Oreochromis niloticus: one gene and its partner. The protein of the gene in region 1 interacts with the protein of each later gene in a pairwise test. Links are inferred from orthologs where the notes say so. Each region holds a gene or a part of one and is shown on either strand. Other genes may lie near its edges.

What was found.
Region 2: the proteins of lonrf1 (region 1) and alas1 interact in binary tests that used the Homo sapiens proteins (3 or more experiments, as listed by UniProt). The two-hybrid records come from large-scale screens. The link is inferred for Oreochromis niloticus from reciprocal best matches to the Homo sapiens genes LONRF1 and ALAS1.

What each region holds. Positions count from the first base shown.
Region 1 is NC_031971.2:21,180,356-21,191,572, reverse strand, and holds the start of lonrf1 (LON peptidase N-terminal domain and RING finger protein 1), read right to left. Parts: upstream 5,473-11,217; 5' UTR 5,316-5,472; coding exon 4,706-5,315; intron 2,184-4,705; coding exon 2,065-2,183; intron 1,175-2,064; coding exon 1,052-1,174; intron 1-1,051.
Region 2 is NC_031970.2:19,676,227-19,687,231, forward strand, and holds the start of alas1 (5-aminolevulinate synthase, non-specific, mitochondrial), read right to left. Parts: upstream 5,445-11,005; 5' UTR 5,274-5,444; intron 2,498-5,273; 5' UTR 2,462-2,497; coding exon 2,257-2,461; intron 2,123-2,256; coding exon 1,940-2,122; intron 1,827-1,939; coding exon 1,692-1,826; intron 1,464-1,691; coding exon 1,244-1,463; intron 906-1,243; coding exon 721-905; intron 621-720; coding exon 441-620; intron 231-440; coding exon 66-230; intron 1-65. Other genes in the region: protein shisa-4-like, read left to right, coding at 9,944-10,010, 10,971-11,005.

The DNA of each region.
Region 1 (11,217 bases):
CTGAGGAGGCTGGTACAACTCGTAAGCTAGAGCCCAAACTCCTCAACCTTGGTTTATTGGCTCATGCTGCCGAGCTTCCACGCTGTAGCAGAAAGATGCCTAGTTTGCTTCTGATTTCCAAATCAGAAGCATGAGAAATTTAGTTAAGATGCCAACACACCCAGTAACCCAAAATGACCAAACGAATCAATTTCAAACGCGATTACACAAAACGCTTGTATCGGCAGCTGAACACAGACCAGGTTCAGCACATAATGGCGAACTGTCACGTTATGCAGAGAACGAATGTAGTCCTGCATACATTAGTCAACTGCATGTCACTTATGTAACTACAATACTGTGCTCTGTCTGACTTTTAAGTGGTACTAACGTCATTAGAGGCACAGTCATAAGATCTGACCCACTAACGACTTATGCAATTCCAAGACAGATGATCCCAGGGAGATAGAAGGAACAGGCAAAGTTCACGGAAGTGGAAGTAAAAACCAAAAGCAATGTCATTTGTGTGCATCCACTGTCCCTCATACAGTCCACAATCATCACCCTGAGTAAAGCACCAACAGTAAATGCTTCATATTTCCATATTTCCAACAGTTTTAATGTTCCTCCCACGGCCTAGGTAATTAATTTCTTACTTTCTCTTTTCAATTTAAATATATCAGCATCAATGACCAGAATAATAAATCTGTAAAGGACATTTGACAATATAAATCCTATTAAAAACACAGCAACGCAACAGCTCCTTCCATTCAGGATGCTTATAAAACCTAATGTCTATACCATGCTCCAAGTTAAATGGGTTATTCAGTAGTTAAGATTAAGATGTCATGACAAAGGGAGATTACATTAGGGTTGTAATATAATAGCAGATCCTAAATAAACAGACAAATGGCTCTAAAGTAAATAATAAATGAATAAGGAGAAGGAGAGCGTTGTGTTCCCAGCTTAGACACTCATGCCCTGGACCTAAACTACTTAAAATAGTTAAAACAGTATGAATTCCACTTCCTCCCTGGCAGCAGGCTCGCAGCAGACACCGTAACCCTCTCACCTTTTCCACTTGTCTTTTAGCACAGGGGAAGTCCTCATCAACAGCCAGGCAGTGGAGGAAGACTTGGAGAGACTCGTCCACTTGGCCCATCTCATGCAGCACCATAGCTTTCCTAAATAAAGCCTGAAAGAAGACGTGCAAATGTGACTCTCAGACAAGCTTCAAATACACAAGCTACAGGTGTAGCTTTTATACATATATATATATATATATATATACACATACACAATGCTTTCAATGCCTGTCAATATGACTATGCATCACATAGATAAAATCACAAAACATATCGTAGGCATTCGACACACACGTTTGGTGTCATGCTTGTGATGTAATAGTTGTTAATGTCTGTGACCTTAATCACTGCATTCTCAGCTGCCATCGAGAAAACCTTGACTGGTCATGACACTCTTTTGTAACACATTTACCCAAAGAGAAGATCCTTTATGTAACAGTAAAAATAGCAGCCCACTGTTAAAAGTACGGCCTATAAGCAAACAGTTAGATCAGCAAAAAGTCATTCTCTGGGAAGTATAATTCACTGGTCACTAATCCAACATAAACCTTGTAAAGTGTTCTATAACAATGTGGATGAATGAATAAACCTTGCTGCTGTAAACTGGTCTGCAATTTACAGGTCATTAGCATCTAACGACACTAATGACACAGTTAATGAGGCCACTCTCTCTCCATCTGTGGGGCTGTGACGGCAGCAGTCTTAAAATACACCTTTTCTAAGTAAAGGCTGGCTGACCGATATATCACAACAGGTGAATGCACGCTAGACTCGACTATGCAAAAGGTAGTTGTGTGAGTCATCCACTAACCTTAGGGCTTACATTGAAAAAAAAAGTTCTATGCTAACTTACCCAACACCAGTCATTCAACCACATAAATCCTTCAGACTTTTACAAATTTTACAAAGTCATCCTGTTTCGTTATTATTTATTAGTCATGCTTCATTTCTATTTTTACAGCAGACTAACATATTCCTGGAGTATCACTGAATGACCTACTTCAGCAGAACAGCTGGATCGGGGACAAACGTTAGTGTCCTCCAAAGCCTGGCGGTACTGTTTCAGACCCATGTACGCCTCCGCTCGAGACAGTCGCGCCACCGCCGTCGTGTCTGGATCTGCAGGGGACAGGATGAAAAGGAGGGGGGAAAGAAAAACCTTCAATGGCCAGAGGAAATTGCTTAAACCTCAACACTTGCACAAATACAAACCATTTAGTTGCTGAATGATTGTGTTGCATGTCACATACATGTAATAGCACACATACCAATTAAGTCTATAACACACTGAGCTACCCCACAATATTTCCTAGCTGCACAGGCAAGTACTGTTTTCCCCTCAACAGAAAATATTTCCTGCAAGTCATACATTATGCAATTAATCAGGACCCTGCATTACATATTAACTGTGTCAATGAATTCTGGCCAAACAGTGTAAAAGGAAAACAAGCTGCAGAAGCCTGCAAGACCAGAGAGAGATTGGTTGACTATATAGTTCTGTCCACTGTGGTAGTTTAAATTAAAAAGAAAAAGCACTACAAAACATGACATATGCTTTAAACACAATGACAGGCTTTTTTGAAAGGCAGACTGCTTTGTTGATGGTAGAACAGCTGCCATTAAGGAGGGCCTAAAACAGCTCTAAATACTTCCACCTGTGAGAAAGACTAAACATTAAGATGAAGATATATTCCACTGGCTATGTAATCATCCTGCCTCAGCCTTTTAAAGCAATCTGTCTGCGTGGCAGATGAAGTTTGTTATTTAACTGCTGTGTCATCATAAACCACATTGCATACTGTCAGTGCTAATAATGTATTACGTTTCCCTGAGAGAGATTATCTCATTTCTATGGAGCATTCGAGATACTAATTGGAAGGGTAAGGGTAGTTTGTCTTGTCATCATTACATCAGCAAAGCACCCCCTCTGTGTCTGGAACTTTCTATCCTCCCCTCAGGTTGGATGCAGAACTGTGGGTCTGCACTGTCATAAGCAGGTACTGTCGACTGCAATAGCGCCTCAGTGGCATCGGTGTGAAGTCCTCGACCCACTGTCAAGTGACAGAAGGGTGATGCCGCTGTTATCTTTATGTAACCTTTAATGTGTACAAATCACTGCTTTTGGGACGACCTGAGAGACAATCCAGGAACAGGTCAGGCTGTAATTTCATATTTTGTCATTTGTCATCCGGCACACAGCCCTTCCTTCCTTTTTAAAATAGTCGAAGCAGCAAACGAGAAAAAAAACGAACAAACAAATATATGATGTTAATTTGAAAGCAAGTAACTCCAAGCATCTAATGTAGGGGAGGAAGTGCATTTGGGTTGTATTGATTATTTCTTAATTTATCCTCAGCAAGCTCCATGTTACATCCAGAAAAAACAAACCATTTACCATTTTAGGGGAAAAAGGGGGGGATAAAGTTTTGCTTTAAGTTACTCAAACTATCAAATGCAATTTATTTTGTTCTGATTAACTAAGACATGCTTTCAAGTCTGAGTCCCTGGGGGTTCCTGGAACACGGGTAACCCTTTCGCTAAACATCCTGATATTGTGCTGCTAATGTCTGAGTAACAGAGGTCAAAAAGGATACAGCATGTTACATGAGATATTAAATCACATGCAGGTCCAAAGCAGTTTTCCAGACCTACTGTCAAGCTGCCAGGCTATAGAACTACTACCCTAATTACTATAACAGCACAAGTTTAATGAATAGACTAGAGTTCCTTCATTGTGTGATTGAAAGTAATCAGAAATTTAGTAATCAGGAAATTAAAAAAAAGAAGGAAAAGAAAGCCTGTTCCTCTTGTAAGACAGCAGCATACCCACAATGCATCACACTGCTTTACTTTCTATTTTTGTTTTCACGAAGGCAGGGCATGCTATCCTCTGGCCTGTTTTTCCTCTTTAACCTGGGAACTCAGTGTACAGTTTTCAGTATGACTGGAGTTTGTTTTTACCGGACAGAGGAGCATTACTCACTTCAATACACCCACATAGGGGTTTCCTATCAATACTTGCATCTGCACCTGCGAAACTCAACGCCAACAAACCTCCCACATCACTAGCAGGCTAACTACAAATAAATAAACCAGCCTGGTTTAGTTTCTTTCATTGCATAACTTGCTGCCTTTGCTGGGTGTGTATACGGACCCCCGGCCTTGCCTTGCTTTACCCCTCGGTGAATCCATCCCCCCCTCCCACCTTCTAAGACATTTATGAAACCGTGGTTCGCCCAGACATAACAATTACAAAATACAACCGCCCTCCCCCCATAATAAGTTACAAAACCTGCTCCAATATGTGTCACGACCTGCCTTACGCAACGTGCACCAAGCGCGCATGCCCATCTTGTGCAATTTCGTAAGCTGGGCCCAGCAGATAGGCAGAGCAGGAGGAGACTGGCGTCAGTATAACACATGAAATTAAGTAATTACTACTTAAAGAAAATATTGGTCACCATGTTGTCCCCTCTGAATCCATTGAGGGCACGGGCCATACACGTATCCCGCTCCCGTCACTACTACACAACCCTGGTTAAGTAATAACACATCCGCACTCCAGTCACGCCTGCTCGGTGAGAGTGCGCAGTAGACACACCTCTCCCGAGTGCACGGCTGGCACTGTTAACAACACTGACCTGACTGAATCACGTCGGTTGCTAGCTCCACGGCTTCTTGGTAGCGTTTTCTTCTACAGAGTGCGTCCACTTCCGTTACTTTTTTCGATTTTTCCACTTCCTCCGGGAACCATTTACTTAGTAGTGCGCACAAAATCACGTTCACTTTCTCCTCGCCCCTCACGTGTTCACTACACAGTTTACATTTGTGAAGTAGCCGTCGCTGTAAGCATCGTTTACAGTATGAATGTCCACAGGCTAAGGTCACGGGTTCACCTAGAAAGCAGTGACAGTTAGGACACTCCAGCACGTCCTCCTCCGCGGAGCTCTCCGCCGCATCCCGGCTACTACGGCCCGACAGCGGCTCCGGCCCGGCCGCTTTCCTCTTAAAGTTGCGGAGGATACAGTCCACGAAAGTGCTGAGCTGCTCGGGCCGCACAGGACTGTACCGCATAGCAGCTGAAAACCAGTCAATGGCTTCTCTAAGGCAGTTTTCGGACGCTAGAGCGTTAGCTTTCTGAAGTATAAGTTCATGGTGGTCCTCCTCTTCCGAGACGTTGCCCGAGTCAGCACCGATGAAGAAGGCGCTTCTCTCCTCCAGGGCGTCCGCCGCTTGCGGCTGGAGCGACATATTAGCGTCTAAAAAGATGAGCAATAGTATGTTATAGAGACTTAAGTTTTCTTCTGGTAACGTGTTTATACATTTCTACGGCTGCCGTGGTCCTTTGCGGTATATTGAACGCACTTTCCCACAGATACCCGATTGTTACATAAAAAAAATAATTGTCACGTGAGCAGCAGACTCGTGCCGTGATTGGTCGGGACCTCTCGGTTACAAAACCTGCGCTTGAAAGTTTCATAACTACGGAAGAGACGTAGTAAAGTTGTCAGTGTGCCAAATGTCAACGCTCTAACTGGAACTTCTTAACCTCCAAGTCCTTTACAGTCAAATAAAACCAAGCAGAAGTCATATTACTGCGAAAGTTTGAGCGGGAGGTTTTGACACCAGGGGAAATAGGAAACCTACCAGAAGGCATTCATAACTGCTTGTGTAATACGATTTTGTAACACTTTCCCAAGTGTCAGTTTTATGTAATTAATTTCATGCACCTTATGCACCTATTTCCTCCTTTTTCTTTCGACTTTCTCAGTGTAGTTTCATACTTTCATTTGCTGCCGGAAATATTTACTCTTTGGTTTTTTAGAAAGTTTTGCACAGAAAAGCAAAGATAACAACTCCCGGTCACTGCTAGGATTACGTCACAGCCATATTATTTATGTAACGGGAAATTACCTTTCTCCAGAGGTAACAGGGCTTGAGGTCCGGTGTCTGGGGAGGTGTGTTTTTCTACCCAGGTATGCTTTTACTGCAGTGGCAGTGTCTTTGGGATCATTGTCATACTGATATATGAAGCTTTTGCCAATCAGATGGTTTCCAGATGGTATTGCATGGTGAATCAAAATCTAGCCGAAATACTATTGGTGTTGTTCCAAACCATGACAGCCTTTTTCCCTTGTTTCCCTTCCATACGAATGTCTTCTTGACGGCCACCCTTCCACTGAGACCATTTCTGATAAGACTTCGACAAACAGTAGGTGCAGATGCATCTCTCATGTCCGATTTCAAGTCACATATAGGAAAAGTACCCAGTTTTCGTGATCGTGAGAATCGTGATCTATCTATCTATCTATCTATCTATCTATCTATCTATCTATCTATCTATCTATCTATCTATCTATCTATCTATCTATGTCCGAACATAGTTTGAAGGAAAAAGACGAAGGGCCAGTATTTATTTATTTCCTCTGTTTCTTCTCCTCTCCATGTTCCACAAGAAGTAATCAAAATATTCCAAAGCAAAAATAAATCATTTTTTGAGGCAAATACATTAAACAAATTGTCTACATCTACACAACAAGAGGTTTTGTTTGACATTTTGCATTGTTCACACCAAACAGTTACTCTGATTGATCATCTGCCAGCTCCGAATCTGCTTCTTCAAACTGGCTGTTGAGTCACTTCAGCTCTCGGGATCTGTCAAAATATGTTCTCCTGGCTGTAAGTTTCTGTGCTATCTCGCAGAGTCTAAACAGTACATATTGCACAGAGTACATAGTGGCAATTGTGGTGATACTATGGTTATATTATGATAGCCATCGAACAGGATATCCACTCACGTCCCCTCATGCTTAACCAGTCTCGGCTTTAATGATACACAGATGTTCAGAGGTCATCAGCTCTCAGTGAAAAGTAAAAGGGTGATTTATGAAATGCTGCAATCTTTGGGAAAACGCTGTAAAAACCTTACACAGTGTAGCTGACGTTTTATGAGGCGGTGTGAACCTGATTGAGTTTTGTATAACGTGGAGGGACACCTCCCTCTAGTGGTTAAAGAATGTTATTGCTTTAATGGACTTGTTTAAAAAAAATTATTTGTAAAAAGTTATTTATTTACAAAATGTCTGCACTGAATAAATACAATAAAATGTGTATCTATTTTTGATCGAATGAATTTTAAAGCATGTCACAGAAATGTTTTATACCCCCCAGCATGTTTGCACTGAGTAGGAGATGCTCTGTATCTCATTGTACAGCTGTATAGTGACAATAAAGGTATTCTATTCTATTCTATTCTATTCTATTCTATTCTATACTGAAAAATAGAAATCTACATAGCATTAATGATCACTTGTCAACGTGCAGTTCATATGTAATATTTCGCATGGATCGCATTATTTGGTGCTTAGCACATTCTGCTGGTATGCAATACGCAGAGTGCGATGAAGCAGTTTGCACTGTCATGTGATAGGCTTGTTATAAACACCAACTAGAGGGCAGTGTTGCACTGTGTAAACTGAGTCACAGTCTGCTCACTCGACTGATCAGATGCATAAACCAGCATACAGCTCCATGACTAACCTCAGGAGGTTAAACTTTCAGTTTAACTTTTTTGTGTGTGAGTTGTGTGTCCACTACAGAGGACGCGAATGAGCAGGCTGGGTCTCAGAAGGTTAAAACTGTGTAGACGCACAACTTGAACTTTGCTCATTTGCTACATTAAACACGTTACAGTGCCACTGATGATAACAGAGTCAGCACACCCTCCTTTCATGAATCTTCCTTTCTCTTTCCTTGTCACTCTCATATAATTTTAAAACCGATGTCACAAAAGCTAGAAAGGAAGTGTCATCCTCTAAAATCTTAATTTATTCTTGATCAACAATTCCCAATTAAATGTGTCTTTATTAAGAAGCTATACCTGACATAGCCTTTTTATTTTTCTGTAATTAAGATCGTCCCTCTTTATTTCTAGATCCTTGCAAATGTGCATCCGTATGGTTACTCTGAAGAGTTACAGACTAACCATAGTTTGTGGATTTGAAGCACAGAAGGAAATAATCAGACCATATACTGATTTCACAACCGATCACAAAATTTTACTATGGCAGATGTTACTTTGTATAACGATTATCTGACAGTTGCCCATTTGTCTATGCAAAATATAAGTCTTCCTCACATGTGAATGATAGTTAGAGAGCAAACATGCTGGCCAAGATATGTTCTTTAACTGCCACATTAAACAAATCTCTACAACCGCCTTCTTTCACCTGTGCAACATTGTACAAATTAGGAACATCTGCTGTCACAGTGATTCTGAAAAACTAGTCCTGCGTTTGCCAGTTCAAGGCTGAATTATTGTAATTCCTTATTTTACTTATTCCTTATTGTCCACCATCTCCTGTCGAGTTTAGTAAAGATGACAGCACTCTCTGTGATGATGCAATGCATAGGGCTGGTTCAGGTGCTGCTTTAGGCCCAGGCTGCTGGAGGACTCATAGTGGTGCTCGGCTCTGTTCTCCTCTTGCTCACTTATCATCCACTTATATGCTGCTATTGCACGTCAGTAACTTTGTGTGTTCTGTGTTAAATCACTCTTTGTCTGTCTCTATATGACCCTGAGTCTGAAGTTGCTCAGTATTACTGATTTAAAAAAACAACAACAAAAACTGCTGTTTGTTTGGTTTGCCAGCCAGTGAAGGCAGGTGGCTGTCTTTCCTGAGAAAATTCTTTTGGAGCTTTCTTCCTGTTAAAGGAAGTTTTTTCTTCCTACTCCCCACCAAGTGTTTGCACAAAGGGAGTTTTTTTAAATAACATAACAAAGCCTTCATATGGCATATTTTAAAAAAGCAAGCAAGATTATTACCACACAAAAATACAGCTAGATCAGTTTGATCAATGCAAGATGCCCAATGTAACTGACCCCAGTTACAGATCCTAAGATTTAATTATCTCTTTACTTCCACTTACCCAGTTCGAGGGGTTGGGGGGCCGTTTTTCACGACATAGACAGAAAACAAGATAAAATGTATGCTATTTATCCCCAAAACTGTGAAATTATTGTGCTACAGCATGCAAAACATTAAGCATACATAAATTTAGTAGATATTAAGTAAATATGACAAAATAACTCAAGAAAGATGTAGTAATGAGACAGAAGCAGGAGTACAATTACATAAAAATGAATTTAAAAAAGTGAAATAAAATAAAAGAGATTGGTGAATTTAGCAAGGAGCTGCTAGAGATCAGTAGTGCGATGGCTGAACAGTACCAAATTTGACAAGTTTCATCAACTCATTAGCATAAAGTCTAGCTCAGGCAGTAGAACGGGTCAGCTACTAACTGGGAGGTTGGTGGTTTGATCCCTGGTTCCCGGTTGCTCCAGTCTGCATGCTAAGTATCTCTGGGTAAGATACTAACCCAAAGTTGCCCCATATAAATGAGAGCACTTATGTAGAAGAAAGTGCTTGTATGAATGAAGTGCTCTGAGTGCTCGGGTACAGTAGGAAAGACCCATTTAAACGAACTGGGAGCAAAGTTCTTCCTTCTTCCCCTCTTAATTAATAACTTTGTGTGATTCCCGTGATCAAAAGCTTTTAAAGCATAAAACACATAAAGAGTGACGAGTTTCTAACTTTATATTTATTTACAGTCTCGCTTAAAGAATAATTACACAAACCAGAGTCACATTTACAGTCACACTGGTTCTCATAGTTCATAAAACTATTTAATCTATCCAGCAGAATTCTTACAGTTACCAAGACTGCTGACTTTAATATGAAGCATCCTGAGATATTGGGAACTGGCATTTAGAAAAACATTGTATAAAATGAACGCAGGCCTGCATACCCGTGTGTTTATTGTACGTAGCATTATGTTCGTACACTGATGTACACGCTGTACTCGAGTGCTTCGCAGGCTTTGAATTTCTGAAATATAAAGATAATCAAAGGAACTACAGAAACACTGTGTGACTAAACCCTCGTTCTTTTCCCTGTTGACTCTTCAAATACGGTCTTATCACGATGACATACCATTTCTGTTGACGAAACAGTGCTACAGTTGATTTGTCAGAACATTCCAGTCCAAGCGGAGATATGTGACACACACTTCCTCTCAGTTTGATATGTCTGTGGGACTGATAATGCTGGGAGAAAAAAGAAAAAAGTCTAGTGTGTAACATGTGCATCATAATGTGTTGCTTAAACTGTAATAAGCAGGCAGCTTGCATGGTGTTGATCGTTTGACTTGTAAAGTAAAATGGAGAAAATGTGATAACTTCTATGGTTACATAATGAGCCTCGACATATTTCTATCATTCAATCTGAAGCACAAAGGCTGTCTGTGCCGGTGTTATCTGTTTCAGAGTGGAATAAAATTGCATTATTCACTTAAGGAATAAAAAGAAAAAGACTGTGCAGAGCAACAAAATGCACACTGTTCTGAGCGTGGACGTCTTGAGAAATCTGGAGGAAGAATGCACACGTTCGTATTCATTTATCAATGTGGGAAACCTTCTGTGCCTGATTCTCAAACAGCTGTGCAGGAATGCAGCCCTGGTGGTGACTCTTGGTCAGCCTTATCTGGCCCCACGTAATCTCCCAGAGGTGTTTGGGTTCTCAGGAGAAACACGTACTCAAGAACATGCAAAAAACACAGCAGCATTTCGAGTGTGCAAGCAATTGCACGTACACACACACACACACTAGAACTAGAGGGAGGAAGAGGTCGCCTGGAGGTTTATGTTATTTGAAAGATTCTGTTAAACATTACGCGACAAATTCAAAGCCAAGCACGTGTGCGCTCGTCTCCGGCTACGTGTACGATCTTGTTGGAGTCTCTGGTTTGTCTCCAGTTCTGTGTTGCACTAGAGTGTAAGAAGACGTGTTCTTGATCCAACAGGAAAAAAAAAATGTGAGTGAGGATGCCAGCATGAAATGTAAATGCCCCGTCTTAACTGTGGGCTTTCGCAGTCAAGTTAACACTTGTTTATGCTGTTGCTCTGTACGTATATGGAAAGTAGTGAGACTTGAGCTATGAGAATACACGGTTCAGGGTTAAGGATCATAACAATTCTTCTGTTTGGTTTACACCGGATCCTGAACAAAACAAGTACAGCACGTGCGAAGGATGTTTTCCTGCCGCACACAGACACTTCTCACTTGGCCAAGTGGATAAAAACATAGATGGGTAC
Region 2 (11,005 bases), on another chromosome or scaffold:
AAAGAAATGAAAAAGTACAGTAGCAGCAAGCTCTAAATTTGTTTTAGTAGAGATTGCACGCTCACCTAGAGTTCCCGAGATGATATCCATCTTGTGCATGACGCCGTCCCTGTCGCCGATGCCCCCTCCTCTGGAGCCGTAGAGGCCCACAGCGTGAACCTCGTCCACAAAGGTGATGGCGCCAAACTCGTGGGCCAAGTCGCACATTTCCTCCAGCGGACACACAGCACCTGTTACAGAAAGAAAGGCACACAAACCTGGTCAGACTTGTTTTTTGCTTCTTAAAGAGCACTTCATGATACTTAGTTTGAATGAATTATTGATTTTGCAAGAACAGTAATATTTTCCAGGACACATGCAGTAAGACGAAAGTTTTAAAAAAAACATTAAGAAAAATTAACATTTATCCAACAGCAGTGAAGCAGTAATTAGAAACTGACCATCCATGGAATGGACGGTCTCAAAAGCCACGATCTTTGGTTTTGTGGGATCTCCTTTCTCCAGGAGCTCTCGAAGATGGGCCACATCATTGTGGCGGAAAATGAATTTCTTAGCACCGCTGTTCCTGATACCCTGAATCATTGAGGCGTGGTTACCTGCGTCAGAGTAGATTTCACAACCTAAAAATGTTCAGACGAGAGGAAATCGTCAATGAGACCAAACACGCTTACAGGAGGTTCGAATTACTGTTAAATACACCAAGTTTTTCCGTCTGCATACCAGGCAGCATCTTCGCAAGGGTGAAGAGGGTGGAGTCATTGGCAACGAAGCAGGAGGTGAACAGCAGCGCCGCATCCTTCTTGTGAAGGTCAGCCAACTCTTGTTCTAGCTCCACGTGGAATTTACTGGTCCCAGAGATATTCCTGGTACCTCCTGCCCCCGAGCCATGTTTTTGTAAAGTATCCCTGGCAATAGACAAACAGTTGCTCATTAAAATGCTGCAGACGTGTATGCAAGATCCAACAAGCTCAAACAAGTTGAGGGGAAAAAAAAAAGAAAAAAAAAAAAAGAAGAAGAAAAACAACATCATCATCGTGACACATGAGGTTTAGGTGTGATCCATGTCCAACTCAACACCCAAGGGTGTCAGGTTGCATCATGTAATTATGCTCTGTGCTGGTTTCTCTCTGAACTCAGCTCTCACAGAGGGACAAAAAGTAAAAAGCAATCAGGGAAGGTAGACAGGCCGTACACATCAACGCACCTTGACCCATTAAACTGGATTAACTACTCAGTTACTCACATGATGGACTGCACGACTCGAGGGTGTCGACTCATGCCCAGGTAGTCGTTGCTGCACCAAACCGACACGTCACGCTTTTCTTGTAAAGAGCTTGTGAAGTCGTCAGCCATCGGGAACTCAGTGGCCCGACGATTCACGGTCTTAAACACGCGGTACGTGTGATCGTTCTTCTTCTCTTCGATCTTCTTCTCAAAAAACGCATCGTACTGGAAGCGGGCCGCTGGAAAAGAAGAGGAAGGTATAAGGTTGCTTAATGTGGCTTAGTGTTGCTACAGTACTGCAACTGATGGAGCAACTTTAACATGAGGAAAGACTACACCCGTGTGCAAAAACACCAAAACATACTTGCAACTAAAAAAAGAAAAGATTGTCATAGTAAGGCAGACAGTATCTAGATTAATCACAGGCTTGCAGGACAGTGTGATAAAACTATCAACATAAAACCTACTTCTTCCTGGTAAGTTGTCTTGCAGCAGGTGGCTGACTTTCTTAGGTCGCTGTTTCAGGAGGGTTTTCATTAATGTGGTTTCTCCTTCGGTAGTACTGGCCAAGTTTGGCTGCTTTAGTTGGTCAGCAGGCACTTCTGTCATGACAAAAACAAAATGCTGTCAAATACTGTACAAAACTATGGAAACCTGATTAATTTCTCAAAGAAAAAAAACAAAAAACAAAAAACCAACAACAAAAAACCCTTACCTTTCTTCACAGTGCGCACTTCCTGTACATCCTCTTGGAACTCTATGCCAACCTGACGGACTACACCACTGTTCTTCTGGCTCATCTCAGCAGCCAGGAAAGGGCATTTGGAGGCCATCATCTGTCCTGGAGGTGGCATAGGGTGGCCAGCCGGCAGCTTGGACTCCACCTCCTGTTTGGGGGCTGCAAAGGGACAAAAGTTTTAAATTTCACATTTATCAGTAATTCTATCATTACATGATTTATTTGACTAAATATAATACAGCTGTAGTGTTGATTAGAATAGCCAGTATCACCACCATCTTTATCATCCTCACCGGCAGACATGGTGTTCTCAGGCTTCTGGTGGGAGGATGAGGAGGAACAGAGGGCACGTGCCATTGAAGGGGCCATAGGTTTTGCAGCCAGCTCCATCATGATGGGGCATCGCTGGGCGTAGGTCACCAGCGCCTTTTTGGACTGCTGGAGAAAGGCCTGGGGCATGCGAGCCAAGAAAGGACAGCGGCGCACTATTACATCCATAATCAGCAGCGGTGATGACGATGATTGTCTCGAGTTCTAAAGGAGAAAGAGAAAACTTATGTGAAACGTGTCCTGCAGACAATGCAGATAATGTTTTTGTTCCATAAAAGAAAGGAAAAAAGGCTTTTTAGAAGAAAAAGCCTGTCTGTTGCAAAAACCTGTTTTACAACATAGGTCAAGGAAGTGGGAAAATGCTGTTTATGGTCAAACACTCCTACATGGTTCAGCTAAATCTAGATTTTGAAAAACAAAAACAAGTGAGAATGAGATCTGATTATCTCAGTCTTTCAAAGGCAGGTGAGATGAGTTCACTGAGCCACTGATATAATACGTGAAAGCTGAAAGACTCTTACGAGCCCACATGTTTGGCTACACTCACAATAGTCAAGTGTTACTTTAAGAAGCCTGCAGTGTTTGCAGTGATGGGAATAACGGCGTTACAAGTAACGGCGTTACTAACGGCGTTACTTTTTTCAGTAACGAGTAATCTAACTAATTACTATTCCTATCGTTACAACGGCGTTACAGTTACTAACAAGGAAACGCGGTCCGTTACTATTTTTCAACAAACAGACGGTTGAAGCTGTGTTCAGCTTACCGCATCTTCTGGACGCTACAGCTTTAAGCAGCTGCGCGCGCTCCCGCGGACGCTAATCACGAGCACTGTCCAGCACAACACCTGGAGCTCAGGAGGCAAAACAATCGCATGAGTGCTGCTGTTTGACTGAGGAAGAATAAAGTAGTCGTGGTAAGTCAATCACACGACCACTTAAAGACAAAGCAACAAGGTGATATATACCAGTTTATAAATTGTGTTGATAGGCCACGTAAAACCAGAGTCATGATAAACAATATATACGCGGCGTTTTTTCCTCAATAGTTTCGCCACGTTAGCGCTAGCAAGCACTCTCTGCTTATGAGCAAACAAAACAAAAGTTTTAGGAGTGACGGCGAGAGAGAGAGAGAGAGCAGGAAAAGAGAGAGAGCGAGTTTTGAGATTTGTGACGTTTAGCGTGTTTGGAGTGTGTAGTTCATGTGTTGTCTTGTGTAGTTAGTGTGTAGTGTTGTGTATAGTTTTGTGTTGTGTGTCAGAACAATGAGGCGACTGCTGTCTCCAGGTAGAAACAGGAGTGATACACCTGCTGCTGTCAGACCTGCAGGTATCAGGCTGTGATGTTCTCCTTTATAGTGGACAGAAATTATTTTTTTGGAGTGGCACAAATAATTTGTGTGGCATCTTATTGAATGCAGAAGCAGAACAGCTGATTGTTCTGTAAATAGTTTGAAATGGTTATTTAAAAAAAAAGGGTAAAAGGTAAATGGATGCAAATAACTTTGTTGTTTGCAAAACTTGTGCATATAATTTTAAAACTGACAATTTATATTTGTATTTGAAGTTATGAAATATGATTCATTAAACGTGTTTATGGTTGTTACAGTAAAAATATAACTTTTTCTACTCTGATTTTATGTTTTTTGTTTGATTTTAGATCAATTCTGGTTATACAGTATGATAAAATGAGAACATAACTGTAAATTCAGGCTCGTGAGGTTGCGCTAAAAAGAATGATACCAAACAAGGCAAAGTAAATAGTTTTTAAAGGTAAAATGTGGAGAGAAAATCAAGAGTAGTAAAAAAATGGCCAATTATACTCTGGACGCCAGAGGGTTAAACGTTCTTTGTTTTTGTTTTTAAAGTAACGCAATAGTTACTTTTCCAAGTAATTAATTACTTTTAGAATATTGTAACTGAGTTACTAACTCAGTTACTTTTTGAAGAAGTAACTAGTAACTGTAATTGAATTACTATTTCAAAGTAACTTGCCCAACACTGAGTGTTTGCTCATAGCTGGGTCATAACCTTTCCCCAACAGAAACCAGTTCCCAGGTAGGACACCCACACCTGAACTTTGCTCCCTATGAAGTTCCAGAGAAATCTAACAGTGACTAATGTGGTACGTCGAAGCTGCTCTTTCCCTTATATAAACACTAGATAGAGATCAATACATACATAACATAAAAGTAATGCCAATGTAATTCATAGAGTTCCAAACAAAGAAAAGCTAGTCTTTGTTTCTGTTTATTTATATGCCTTTAATAATGATACCCACATTATTTGTCGACTTATTTAAAGCTACTCAAAGTGCTACTGACGAAACATGATGATGATGACGATAATAATAATAATAATAATAATAATAATAATAATGATGATGATGATGATGATGATGATGATGATAAATTATATTATTGTTGTTATTATTAATAATGAAACTTCTGTCTTCTGCCTGATTAAATACCCCTGCTTATACCCGAGTTGTCCTACAGTCCTTACTTTGACTGAACTCATGGGCGTCTCCGGGCTAGTAAAAACCCCATCAGTTTAATCTAAACTAAAAACAGTAGCGCTCTACCTAAACAACGCTGCTTACGATAATTATGACCATGATTTATGTTTATTCATATGGTCTACCCATCTCTACTCAACCGGTGTTACAATAAAAATAGATTTATTAAAACCTCAACACTTTAAATAAATTCACTGGTTTAACAGGTATTTTCCTGTTTTGACTCACCATTTTTTTTGCGCAAAAGTTGAGCAAAAGTCATACCTTATGTGTCTCCGATGGTAATAAATATCGCGATGAGATCGTTTCGAGACATAAAAAGTGTCAGCCTGGCTTTCCTATCGTTAACCGGGCCCATCGTGATCCTTGCCGGTTGACTGATCTTAGCAGGACGGCTAACATTAGCTAAGAAGCTACTCGAAATAGGGGTGATGATCGCGATGAGGTCAAATAAGAACACCTACCTCTTAAAACTTCACAGCTTCCGGTGTAATCCTCGTCGTGTTATAGTGACAATAAGCGATCTTGGGTGCTGCTCAGAGAAATAAAAGAAAACACAGCTTGTTGTTAACGGAAGCAGAGCAAAACGACTCTTCGTTATCCTGCACTGAGGACGAACGGAGAGGACGAGGGCGAGCCAGTTCTTATAAAGTAATGCCCAGACGAAGTATCGCGAGATCTTAATTCTGACGTTCTGTGTGCGTCATCAAACACTCTCGCCTATCTGGCAGCGGACCCAGCAAGGTTTTGTTAAGGACACTTGAGTGGAAAGGATTTGGTCATTACAAACACGGTGAAGGTGGTTTCCTTTACATGAATTCATAGATTGAATCCCCAAACTTCCAACAAAACTATAAAAGCGATTTAGATGTCATTTATTTTGGTTTTGTACTTTTATGCAGGTGTCATGGAAAAGCATTTTGGAAAAGCATTTTGGTTTTATCTCTAACAACATGCTGTCAGAATTTTTTATTTTCATTTCTATTTCTATATATTTGTATTTCACATCTTATTTGGTTGTAAGAAATACGAGAGCAGTACCTCATCTGTTGGCTTTTACTCCTTGTCAGACACCACATCCATAAATGTAAACTCTCAAAAGAGAAGCCACGCTTCCTTTTTTTTTTTCATGAAGGAAATGGAACTTTATGTGGCCCAATTTATTCTATTCTTCCCATAAGAAAAAGATATTGATATCTGTGATTTTTAATGTCTCTCATGACCCCGTAACTCTTTCACCTCATTGTTTTGTTCCGTTATGATTTAATTGATTTCCTTGCCATTATTTTTGTGTTATGCTTTTATTGTAAAAGGGAAAAATAGCATGCCCAACAAGGCTCAGGGGCCCAAAGGTGTTGGAGGGGGCTAGGGAACTTGTAGAGTAAAAGGATTCCTTTTTTCTCATGCTCATAAAAGACCCACAACCACAAAGAGCTTCAGAAAGAAAGCAGCTCATGGAAAAGAGTCGTTGTAACTGAAACGTGGGAGTATTTCTCCACTTGGCTTTTCTAAAGGATATTTGGGTTTATGCCACAGCTGATGTTATGGCTGAAACTATGGCTGAAAATGTTTTATGTTTGCTTCTCTTGTAGTAACAGCCTATCACTTAATCTGGAGTTTGGAGTGATTTAATTCAATTATTATTTTGCTTCTTTTGTTGCTTTACTTTTTTTTGTTTATCTTTTGATTTTTGCACTGCCACACCCCAAGCTACAGCAAAACCTGTGGCTGATAAATGTGGGCTACACACAAATTAATCTAAGATGATATAAGAGACATTCACATGAGTAGGCGGATGTTTTAAAAGTTGTATGATGAAGGCCCTGAAGGTGCATTATGATTCTTTTGTGACATTTATCATGTGTTTTGTGAGTTGTCAGCTCTTTGTCATGTGTTTCCTTATTTTGTTGCAGTGGCTTGAACTGAAAGTATTTATGGGGGTTTCAATTAGTACAAAAGTAAATGAATATTTGTGTCCATGAGCATGAGTCAATCCATTTTTTGAATCTTTAATGAAATGCCATGAGATCAGGTTGGTGTGCTGGGGAAAGAGGGAACCGTGGGGTTTCCGGTGCTTCATATTACCTGCAAAGCCCTACTAGAAGCATGAGAGTTATATTTAAATGTATTCAGTTGGACCTTAGTTGGGCAGTGATTTTGAAGAATTACTTAAATTTACTTTAATTTTAATTGTAAGTAGGACATAAAGACTGCCTGCACATAATTACTGGTCAAAATTTATAAAAAATGCTTATAAAGTTTGCTGATTTCGCACAAAAGTAAGATTTAGAAACTCTTTAACCCCATTGGAAGTCACCATCTTTGTGAATTCTACCACAGATTTTAATTCACGATTCTTTGATTGCCATATCTCCCTTTTATATTTACTCCGATCTTTGTAGTATTTATTCTGTTTGTAGCCGTTAAAAATAACTTACAGTCATTGTGTTTAATCACCTTTTACCTCCATCTAAGATTTGCAGAGACTTTGTAATTTAACAACAGCTCTCTAAACTACAACTTTATGTGTATTTGAATTGTTACAATGATGCAAAACACTCAAACTGAAATCAGATTACGACTCGAAAGACTTGTTAATCGCTCTAGAGGTTTTCGCTGCATGTGATGTCTGGATTTAAAGAGTGACACTAAACTTGGATTGGTGCCTTAATGGATTTTAGATTGTCTTGTAATCTTTGCAGGTGTTCTTGCATGCGTGTGGGTGAAAGGTTGTTGACAAAGCCTATGGTGCCAAACCAAGGCTAAACTCAGTAAACACATTACACATTGTTACCATTTTATTAGGTGCAGCTGTTTAAAATGAATTCATTTTAATGCAACTGAATGCTTCATTGTTTAAACAGTTCTAATGTAATATTTTGCAGTGTATATATCTGAGCCATTCTTTCTCATACATTGTAAGTGAAAAACTCAGAACCTCAGTTTAACATAGTATTTCAGCACCAAATACTGGCAAAGAAAGAGTGATCAAAAAGGCTTTAAGACTTAAATGAGCTTTAGTTTTTATAAGAACTGTAATTCCCATTGTTTATAATCACCTATTGTGGCTGTACTGGTGCTGACTACAAGTGTATGCGGAGGGGAAAAAAAGCACTTTACTCAGAACAACAACAATAGCATTGCAAAAAGAATTTCAAATGTCTTACTCTGAAGAATCTACACTTGTTTCTGCCCTCTGGATCTGTGAGGTTTTTCACCGTCACTTCAGATTTATGGTTGCGGTGTTTTGCTGCCCTCTGCTGATCTATTTTGACTTTAGCAGTGTTTCCTAAAGTTTTACCCTCATACCTGTACTTATGTCAGACTGTATTATTTAAGTGTACTAAAGCAGTTACTTAAACTCACCTTGCCTGGGAATGACCGATAAAATGAATGCCACCCATCCATCCATGCAAATCAGTACAGTTCAAAGCTTTTATTTGTACCAACATTTACAGTGACACTGAACAGTCTGTGCTCTGAGCCAGGCAGTAAACAAAGTCTCAGTCATCCATATTTTCCTCAGGTGTTCTTTACAAACACTGGATGATTGTCCCAGGTGACTGCAGTTTCACTAATGCAACATAAAAATGCCCCTAATGTTTAACATTTAAGATTCACATTTATTTTCAAAGTAAAAACACTGGAAAGTTATCTTAACAGACTGTGATGTTGTTAACACAAGCACACTATTACAATCTGAAACACGTATTCTTTGTTATGAAATATCTTCGATTTGAAAATCATAATAAGAATAACAGGATCAGTGATTTATAAAACTCTGTGTGCATAATTATACCTGCGTTTCTTCTGACTGATGTAAGCCAGAAATACATAAGAAGTTGAAACAGAAAATTATTGAAAGTTGCAGATGTGTATTAAATGGGAATTAAAACGCCGTCATAGACCGAGTTTTAATCTGGTTGTAGGCTGTGGCACTAGGTGGCAGTAGTGGACTGGACTCCACCTGAATGCAGGTAATGTAAAGTGCATGCTTTATTTCTGGACCTGACAACTCTCAGGGTGATTAGAGCTCAACTAACAGGTTCAGAATTTTTTCGCTATCAGCAGCGAGTCAGTGCCAGATGTAACGACATTCATCCATCCATTCATCACCCACATGATAGCTACCAAAAATACCTTTCATTTCATTTTCCTCTTTATTCGTCAGGGACCATGTACAACAAACATTAACCTTCTAAGAGAAAATTGTACCTGATTTAGCTGATGGCTGATTTCCATCCGCAGTCCCTGGACAGGTTTAATGAACACATCAGCAATAAACAAATTATATTAATACAAATTCAGCTGACAATTCAGCGCAAGCGGACAAACATCCCAGCTAAAATAATTTCAAAATCCAGCCCAGTATCACGTCCGCACGACGTCCCCTAGTGGACCAACAGGTCAATTACACGCTTTTACTTCTAAATCATATAATTGTTTGCTACAATAGCTAGCTCAGTTTTTAAGGTTAGTTAGTTTAATTAATTGTAAATGGACTGAAGCTTGTGTTTTCTTACTCTCACCTAGCACTCTTAAAATTTCAAACTGTATCCACAGACACATTTTAGCGCTCACACGCAAACCCAGACGGATGGATTCATACGTGGGGTTCATGTCTTGTCCAGGGACATTTCATCTTGTAGATGTAAAAGGTCCAACCTTTGGAGTAGTAGACAACCCACTCTGAATCCTGAGCCACCGTAAACATATTTAATAAGCAGTCCATCCCGGAGTGCGACTTAAACAAGTCACTCTATCACAAATCTCGCAGTCAAAATAAGACATGCTTTTCTTTGCATTCAAATGCGTGCCACAAATTTTCAGTTTATGTATGATTCATTTAAATGCTCTCCTCCCAAAATGTTGTGCTTTAAAAGGAAAGGAAAGCTGAAAACAATATAAGAGCCGCAGTGTGACATTTGATCGCCTTTGCAGTTCAGTTACGGGTGAATGATGCATGCAAACTTTTGTGAGTGAAGAAAGTCTGCCAGTGGGCTGGAACATGAACTGAGTTCCGTATTGACGATCAGACCGAACATCAGCGGTTGATTCAAATCAAACGTTTCCTCTAAGAGTATCGCAGGAGATTTCCAGTTCCTTTACTGGTTTTGGGGATGCGGGAGTAACCATGGCACCAGTGGTGTCCAGTATTGTTGTGTTGGCTCTCTATGTGATCCTGTCCCCTCGTGTATCCGGTAAGTTTGATTATTTTAATCTGTAAATGGCATTCGATGAATCACAGGCAATCAGTGTGTGATGTCATCTTCATACCAGTACTAAACAGGCCGCTACCGTGTTATTATTATTGTTTTAAGTTGCAGTTTTGTGCTTTAAATCTTATAATAAATAGTTTGTTTAATTCAGTCATTTAAACATAGGAATACTCACACGGACACATTGAATGTTAACCAGTGTCAGTGTCTGGGTATTTTCTAATGTTATAAGCTATAATCTGGTAACTCAAGTTGCCAGGTAATTAAGTACAGGCAAGGCCATTATATCCGATGTAAAGCAGCAGGCATAAAGAAATACAAATCTTTAAAGGTTATAATAATCATCATTTGGAAGTTTAATTTTGTATAAATATAATACATATAAGTTTTCGTAATTAAAGTTTTATTATTTTTGAACATTTAAACAAACATAACATAACAACACAAAACAACAAAAACCACACTCAGTGAGGGATTTTTTTTTAATAAATAATAAAAAAATATATATATATATATATAATTTATAAATAAACTGTTGCGCACACAAGAGCCTTAATTCTTAATTCAAACTGTATCTCACATTGTCATCATGCTGTAGACCCATAAAAACAAAAACTGTCCCATTATTCTGTTAGAGTGTCTGTCTTGCTGCTCAGTCTTCCCAGCATTTTCTCGCATGCGGAATATAATAAATATAATTAAGGGCTCCAAACTGGGAGCTGAGCCTAAATAAGGGTGTGAAAACACAACCTTTTTATACAATGTTGTACAGTTCAACAACACCCACAACTACAGCCTCTGAAATTACACTGAAGTTGAAAAACTCCCTAAAAGTCAACATGTCGCTGCACTGAGCAGTGAATTATCTTAACTAAAAATTCATTGAATTATCTGAAATGTGCTCATTTCTCTTTGTTTTCCGTGTCTGCTCTGTTTCATCAGGGGACGAGTGCTTGGGATACTCAGAAAGGTTCGGG